2 separate regions of the Mus musculus genome follow, and region 2 is reported to be linked to region 1. Evidence: microRNA targets listed by miRTarBase, many of them from high-throughput screens and not tested one by one. Region 1 holds a microRNA gene; the other region holds the end of a gene's coding sequence. Distances are between the middles of the regions.

Region 1 (4,229 bases):
TCCTCTTTCCCCAGTTTGTGAAATAGCAGGCATCTCCCTGCAGATTCCCGCCTCCAACCAAGCTCACTGGGCTGGCTCTAGACCACCAAGCCTGCCAGCAGCCGCTTTGAGTGGCATTGAGATGTGACCTTTATGACTTTTGGGTGACTACAAATGGGAAGGGAACCTGGCCAGGGCAAAGCGGGCCAGAAGTGTGCCCTGCCAGGTGCTAGCTCGCCACAGAGGACGCTCCAGGCCAGTTGCTCCACAAAATTTATGGGCTGTGAATTTCTCATTCCACTAGAGGAAGTAGGCAGGTGGGGTAGTCAGACTCCGCCTGGAAGGCAGGTCAGGGGGTGACGGTCTTTCCCCTGGAGGTGCCCCAAGTAACCAGAAAAGGAGGCTGAACTGAATGCAGGAGGAATTTCTCCATTTTCTCTCTGATTCTAGTAACTTGGCATCTGCTTTGTCCTTGAGATAGAATCTGACCCTGCCATCTTGAGAACCTAAATTGCTACATTTTCTCCTGTCTTTTATCCCTCTGTCCCTAGGTTTTGGTCTCCACAGTTGCGGTCTCTGACCACACACATCACAATCTTACCAGTCTTCAGAGCACACTCCTTTCCAACCGACGACATGATAGAACCCTCTGAAGACTCATTTGAGACGATGATGGAGCTTAAGAATCCATCATCAAAACAAATGGAGTCCTCCGAGGGCTCATCCAACACCGTTGAAGAGACACCAGGCAGCAGTGGAGCCCAGGCGGGGGCCCAGGCAGGGGCCCAGGCGGAGGCCCAGGCGGAGACCCAGGTGGAGGCCCAGGCGGAGGCTCAGGCTGAAGCCCAGGTTGAGGCCCAGGTTGAGGCCCAGGCGGGCTCAGATAGTGGCCCAGCCCAGGAAGAAAAGGAGCCACCCAGTGGCCCCCTCAAGGAAATGCAAGAGCTGCCCACTAATCTACTCCAAGAAGTGGAGGAGCCATCCAGTGGCCCCCACCAGGAAATGCAAGAGCTGCCCACTGATCTACTCCAAGAAGTGGAGGAGCCATCCAGTGGCCCCCACCAGGAAATGCAAGAGCTACCCACTGATCTACTCCGGGAAGTGGAGGAGCCATCCAGTGGCCCCTACCAGGAAATGCAAGAGCTACCCACTGATCTACTCCGGGAAGTGGAGGAGCCATCCAGTGGCCCCTACCAGGAAATGCAAGAGCTACCCACTGATCTACTCCGGGAAGTGGAGGAGCCATCCAGTGGCCCCTACCAGGAAATGCAAGAGCTACCCACTGATCTACTCCGGGAAGTGGAGGAGCCATCCAGTGGCCCCTACCAGGAAATGCAAGAGCTACCCACTGATCTACTCCGGGAAGTGGAGGAGCCATCCAGCGACCCCTGTGAGGCATCATCTAACGATCTACCCCAAGACATGGAGGAATCAAGTGATGATGGTTCGAACCAGGAGTCGAGTGATGGTTCAAACCACGAATTAAGTAATGGTTCAAACCATGAGTCGAGCTTTGGTTCAAACCCAGAGTCGAGCGATGTTTCCAACCTGGAGTCAAGCGGTGGTTCAAACCAGGAGTCCAGCGATGGTTCACAAAAGGAGTCAAGCTATGATTCAAACCCGGAGTTAAGTGATAATTCAAACCAGGAGTTAAGCGATAATTCGAACCAGGAGTCAAGCGACAGTTCAAACCAGTCAAGTGATATTTCAAACCAGGAAGGGTCGGAACCACTCAGTGAGGCATCCGATTATAGCATGGATGAAACAATCAACTCATCCGAGACCCAGTCAGACCAAGATGATACTGACCTGGGAGATGACGAGGAAGAGGAGGAAGAGGAAGGTGGTGAAGAGGAAGGTCAGCCCAAGAACTCTCCAGAAGAAGTCGTGGCCACCATGGGGAACGTCATCTCGCTGTTCCTCCGGATGCAAGACCTAAAAGAACAACAGAGAGTGGCAGAAAGGCTCATGATGCAGGCTATCAACGAAGGTCGCCTGCCCTCCCTCAGGCCCTTCTCTGGAGATCGCAGAGACTACCATGAGTTTGTCGTGCTCTGCCAGATGACAATGCAGAACTACCCAAGTATGCTATACAATGATGAGCTGCGGGTGAAATTCGTCATCCGCCACCTGACTGACCTAGCCTTGGAATGGGCCAACGACCTCGTAGAGCAGAACAGCCCAGTGATAAACAACTTCTCAGCCTTCCTGGAGGCCATGTCAGAAAAGTTTGAGTATCGGCAGACCCTGCGTGTGGCGGAAGACGCCATGTTCAACATCAGGCAGGGGAACCGCTGTGCGGCCGATTACATCAATGAGTTCCGGGGTCTGATACCCACCTTAGGCTGGCCAGATGAAGTCCTGCAGGCCCACCTGTGCCAGGGGCTCAACGAAGAGATCAGGCACTATCTGTTCCGGATCCCTCAGCCGAATTCCCTAGACAACCTGATTGTACTTGTCCTGCAACTTGAAGAAAAGCTGGCAGAGAGAAGAGCATTACTCAGGCTGCCACCTGAGTCGCGCCCAAGAAGCGTAGCCTGGATGGATGCTCCCGCCCCAGAGAAGTGGAGGGTAAGCAGCTGGCTGCCCAATGAGTTCCACCCAGACATTGATCGCGATCACCTCTTCTTACTGCTCTTGGTGAGAGTGGACCCCTACCACAGTGTCGCAGTGCGGGCCCTGGTGGACTCAGGAGCAGAAGGGAACTACATGGATGAGAGGTTTGCCCAGGAACACTATGTGGAACTCTATGAGAAGCCTTATCCACAGATAATCCAAGGTGTGGATGGCATCCCAATTGGCAATGAACCCGTCTGGCTGTGCACCGAGCCCCTGGTATGTGTCCACCAGAAGCATTATGAGTACATCGAATTTGACATCTTACCTTCGCCCAACTTCTCCATCGTCTTAGGCATGAAGTGGCTCCGAACCCATGCCCCTGAAGTCGACTGGATGAGAGGCCGGTGTACCTTCCACTCTCCCTACTGTCTGCGGAATTGCTTCACCCCACCTCCACCATGCATCGCACTAGAGACATACAGCATAAGCCTACTGCCCGGATTGCCACACACATACTCAGACCTGGCCGACGTGTTTAACCCGAGGGAGGCAGATGATGAGACTTCCGACCAGCCAAGCTCAGACGGATCCGATGATCTTTCTGAATCAGAGCCCTCTGAGCTTCAGCAGGCTGGAGACAGTGATCAAAGCGGCGTCTTTTACGAGTCTGGGGCCCGAGAGACTTTGGAACCTGTGAGCGCCAGGATGCAAGAGAAAGCCAGGCAGCAAGAGAAAGCCAGGGAGCAAGAGGAATACTGGATACTGTATGACATGCTGACTGACAGACAAGACTACACGCAGATGGTACCAGAGCTATTCGACCAGCTACATGGAGCGGCATGGTTCACAAAACTGGAGCTGCTTGGGATTAAGGAAAGTGAGATGAGGCACACGGTCACACACACGGAAGACACTTGGAGAGCATCGTTCGGTTTCGGCCTTCACCAGATGAGATGCTACCGGCCCTTCACAATGAACTCATACTCTGACGAAGGGAACAACATTGTTCACTTCATCCTAAAAGACATCCTAGGGTTGTTTGTGATTTGCCATGGCAGAGAGGTCCTGGTCTACTCAATGAGCCAGGAGGAACACTCCCAGCATGTCCGCCAAGTCCTGGTCCGCTTTCGGTATCACAACATCTACTGTTCACTGGACAAAACTCAGTTCCATCGCCAGACCGCTGAAATCTTGGGCTTCAACATATCCCCCAAAGGGGTGAAACTGAACAAGAACCTTATGAACCTCATCGTGGGGTGCCCTGTCCCTGGCAGCAGGAGGTGTCTTCAAAGTGTGATTGACCTTGTCTATCCCTATCGCCACTTCGTGGAGAACTTCGCTGTCATCGCAGCACCCCTAGTGAGACAACTGCTGAGTTCAGAGCCCTACTACTGGGGAGAAGAGGAGCAGGAGGCCTTGGAATCCCTGAAGAGGGCTTTCCGCAAGTCGCCCGTTCTCTATCACCCTAAGCCTCAGAACCCATTCTACTTGGAAACAGACATCACTGGGTCATTCCTGTCTGCCTCCCTGGTCCAAACCGACGACGAAACTGGCAAGAAATCTACCTGTGCTTTCTATTCAAGACCCCTCTCTACAATGGAGGTGGAGTACCCTCGAGTGGAGATGAGGATCCTTCCAATCCGGGCTGCCTTCATGGTGTGGTGCCGCTACCTGGAGAACACCGAGGAGCC
Region 2 (4,000 bases), 74 Mb from region 1:
TATTAAGCATCATTACCTCTATGTGGAGTTGCTTCAATTGTGTCAAGGTAGCCACTGAGCAAGAATTGCCCCAATTCATCTGCAGACAAAAAATACTGTCCAAAATAGGCCAGAGGTGGAGTAGTCGACTGCTATCCTCTGCCAAGACAGAGTAAGCCAGTCCTCCATAATTCCTGTTTTACTTAAGGTCAAATGGTTATGGGTCAGAAGGATAAAGATAGATGCTCCAACATTATATAAAATTAATGGACTCCAGGCAGCCAGCTGTCTCTATAAGTTGTATAATTTTGGAAGCTATGTCTTTATGCTTCCTACATATATATTTAGGTAATATTTAATTCCTTCTCAGATCTCTGAATGAGTTGAAGACTGGTTATAGTCTCATAACTGAAATTAAGTTGTTTAGCATTAAAGAAGTTCCAGATATGAAGGGATGGATGTCAGATGGTAATACAAGTTAAAATCAACATAATTCAGGCATGGGATTATACACGTTTTAAGTTAGGATATATGATAGAGTGCTTTATCTAAATTGACAAATATGATGGACTGAATGTTAAGTATATAACTTATAATTTGCATAATTGTTATAGTTGCACTAAATTTATATCTGAGAAAAAAAGAGCCTTTTTTATTGGACAAAAAGGGGGAAATGTTGTGGGCTGCCCTGGTGCTGTTTGTATTCTGATGTTAATTCTCTTTCCTCAAGAGGGGTTGCCCCGAGTCAGGTGATCTCATGTGACCCTTCTCCCTGTTTTAACTGATCAATAAAGGCTAGAGCGTGTGATTGGGCAGTGGAGGAGAAAGGTGGGACAGGAGGTCTTAGAGAGGACAGCATGTGGAGAGGGAGGAGAATGAGAACACAAGGAGGACGGAAGAGGAGGAGGAGGAAGCCATGTTGGAGCAGAACCACTTGGTCAGGGGAAACTGCAAGGGGTCTTATAGCTGGAGAATAAGTTAGAGAATAGTGTTACATCTGCCCAATCTACAGCTTAGAATAACTGGATTGTGTGGTCTTTATATGGGCTTACTGCAATTGTAAATCCCAGCAATAGGTCTGAGGCTAGCCTGGGCCATAAAGAGGTCAAAATAAGTCTGGCATACATAGGAAGACCCTATCTCAAAAGACAGAAACCAAAACAAACAAAAATGCTCCCCGTGGACAGATCCTAATTTAAAAAACAAAACCAAAAACAAATCTAGTGTGTGTGTGTGTGTGTGTGTGTGAGAGAGAGAGAGAGAGAGAGAGAAAGAGAGAGAGGGAGAGAGAGACAGACAGACAGAGAGAGAGAGAGAGAGAGAGAGAGAGTGAGAGAGAATGCACAAGTGTGCAGGGGCCTGAGGGGTCCAGAGGTATCAGATCCCCCTGTAGGTACTGGAGTTTCAGACCATGGTGAGGCATTAAGGTAGGTGCTGGGAAAGGAACTCTGGACTCCCTCAACAGCAGGATGACTTGTTAATAGCTGAGACGTCTCCCCAGGCCCCTCAGACCCTGGTTTTTAACTGATTCCAATAAGGCCATTGCAATTAGAGCAAAAACCAAGTTATAGGCGAGTTCTCTGTGCAACCACCTTTCCATTTGCAATCATTTGTACCAAGAGTATGCTAGGATTCCTTAGAACCTCATCGGGTATTTTCATCTGCAGCTGAATAAACAGAAAAAATACAGGAAAGAAAACAAGCCTTCAACACTCTCCTTTCATGAGTCACTTCTCTCGTTTTACAGCATAAGCAGTTCTGCCCAGGTGGCCATGGTGCTCGGCATGACACCCTAGAAATAGCGCAGTTCTGCTTCTGGGTAAGACTCACTAGCAGCAGAGACACAGATGCCCCAAGGTGCATTCCTCTGTACCATTTACCAACAACCTCTTGGTATAAACTATCGATCACCAATAATGTTTCACATTCTACTCAGAACCACAACAGGAAATTAACTGTCACTAATGGAAAAGAATGTGTGTATACTCTCTCCATATAAATAGAAGTGGCTTCTTCAAATAAATAAAAACACCTTTTTCATTATGCAGATGATAACATTAGCCAATGAACTTGTTCAATAAAGCATTTGAGGGCCAGCAGATTATTCAGTAGCAACAGGACTTGCCATCCAACCTGACGGCCGGAGTTGGATCCCTGGGACCCATATTGTGGGGAGAACCAATTCTTACAAATTGTCTTCTGACTTACACACACACACACACACACAAATTGTTTCTTAATTTAAGAAAGGATTTGGGCTGGTGAGATGGCTCAGTGGGTAAGAGCACCCGACTGTTCTTCCGAAGGTCCAGAGTTCAAATCCCAGCAACCACATGGTGGCTCACAACCATCCGTAACAAGATCTGACTCCCTCTTCTGGTGTGTCTGAAGACAGCTACAGTGTAGTTACATATAATAATAAAATAAATCTTTAAAAAAAAAAAAAAAAGAAAGGATTTGGGAATAACTTCCAAAAGACATCATTACTGGGGGTGTATTTCTAAGGCTTGGTTAAACACCATCTTAAGGTATAATAAAAGGCTATGGAAAAGCAGAAGGAAAGATGCCTACTTGCCTTGTCAATGTTTCTAGTACCTTCTTTGATTTAAACACCCATATACAAAGGAAGGTTTTCAGCTTTTATTTTTTTAATGTAATATACAGAGCCACAAACACCATTTCTCTCTCAACTTATGGGAGGTAGTACATTCAAATATATTTAGATTTGACAACTTGCTGTCACAATACCAAGAAATGTCATTAAAAAGTTATTTTTTGACAGGCGATGGTGGCACGTGCCTTTAATCCCAGCAATTGGGAGGCAGAGGCAGGCGGATCCCTGTGAGTTCAAGGCCAGCCTGGTCCACAGAGCTAGTTCTAGGACAACCAAGGCTACACAAAGAAACCCTGTCTTGAAAAAAAAAGTTACTTTTTAAAGATAACCAAATATCTATTTGTTACATGGGCCTGGGCCAATGTATTGACGGCAAGTTGTTTACATATACAGTGTTTTGAACTTCGTATTTTTTTTTTTTACATCAGATTATGTAGATATATGCTCTATCTTCCTCAAATTCATCCCATTTTGAGAGCTGAAGATGTTACACACCAAAGCATTTCCCAAATGGTATCTTCCTTTGCCCTTGACTAAAAAGGTCAAAAACTAAATTTCATTTTCCTAAAGACACAGCTATTTCTAGAACACAGGGATGCAATCCTGACAGACTACTAGAACTAAATTATCACTTCTGTGCTAACACTTTTCACTACAATGTAGCTTTTCCAAAAGGCAAAAAGTATCAGGAACATAGATTTCTCCTAATGAACTGAACACAACAGAGTCTCTTCCTTTCTGGATTCATAAAACATCAACTGTCTTGGGTGGGAGCCCCAGTGCTCTGGGTAATTAGACAGTGAGATGAAGATCTGGGGTCAAATATCATCTACCCAGGGGTGCCATACACAGTTTACAGCAGGTAAAAATGCTAAGAAAGGCCACGGTGGACAGTGCCAGACACCAACAACAGTAGATTACAGGGACCACTGAGGGCCAGGGAATATGGGGAACTTCGATTGCTTTTTTAGCAATGGAAAGAAAAAAAAAATGTCTGGAGAAACTTAAGAGTAAAATTTTTAATTCCATCGTTGACATAATGTGGTTTTCAGATACTGCTTCCTTTGTCGTATGAACAAATTAGTTTAATTTGAGATTAGAGAAAGAAAACAAGATCAACAGAGGAAAGGTCTTCTTTGTCTTCTCGTCAAAGGAAAGCACTCGGGTTGGCGCGAGGGTCTTTCTGGTTCCGGTATCTGTAGGTCAGCCAAACACCCAGGATCTGGAATTAGAAGGACAAACGAGTTTTGAATCGATTTAGTCGATGAACAGAATAAATTAAACTTCTGAGTTCCTTTTGCTTGGTTTGTGTGCAAAGACAAGATTCAGGCAAATCAAAGGACAGGCACTACCAAATCTGAAGTTTGAACACTGTGTTAGACTGCATGCTCCTTCCCCATGCCTGGA

What was found. Region 1 holds the annotated microRNA mmu-miR-127-3p (UCGGAUCCGUCUGAGCUUGGCU, at 3,110-3,131, opposite strand). A microRNA usually pairs through its seed, bases 2 to 8, with sites in the 3' UTR of a target mRNA and lowers its output. Matches are read on the target gene's strand: a 7mer-m8 pairs with bases 2 to 8, a 7mer-A1 pairs with bases 2 to 7 and ends in A, and an 8mer does both.
Region 2: miRTarBase lists Tspan13 as a target of mmu-miR-127-3p. Seed matches in the 3' UTR shown: 7mer-m8 at 2,812-2,818.

What each region holds. Positions count from the first base shown.
Region 1 is chr12:109,591,790-109,596,018 of GRCm38, reverse strand. Mir127 (microRNA 127) reads right to left here and starts at 3,173; the gene lies at 3,104-3,173. It overlaps Rtl1 (retrotransposon Gaglike 1), which reads left to right. Exons shown (of 2, transcript NM_184109.2): 2 at 531-4,229. The coding sequence starts at 616. It overlaps 6430411K18Rik (RIKEN cDNA 6430411K18 gen), which reads right to left. Exons shown (of 1, transcript NR_002848.3): 1 at 3,168-4,229. Mir433 (microRNA 433) reads right to left here; the gene lies at 4,181-4,229. It also overlaps Mir434, Mir432, Mir3071 and Mir136.
Region 2 is chr12:36,011,958-36,015,957 of GRCm38, forward strand. Tspan13 (tetraspanin 13) reads right to left here. Exons shown (of 6, transcript NM_025359.3): 6 at 2,598-3,815. The coding sequence ends at 3,741. Among named protein-coding and RNA genes, the nearest start is that of Agr2, 21 kb to the left of the region's middle.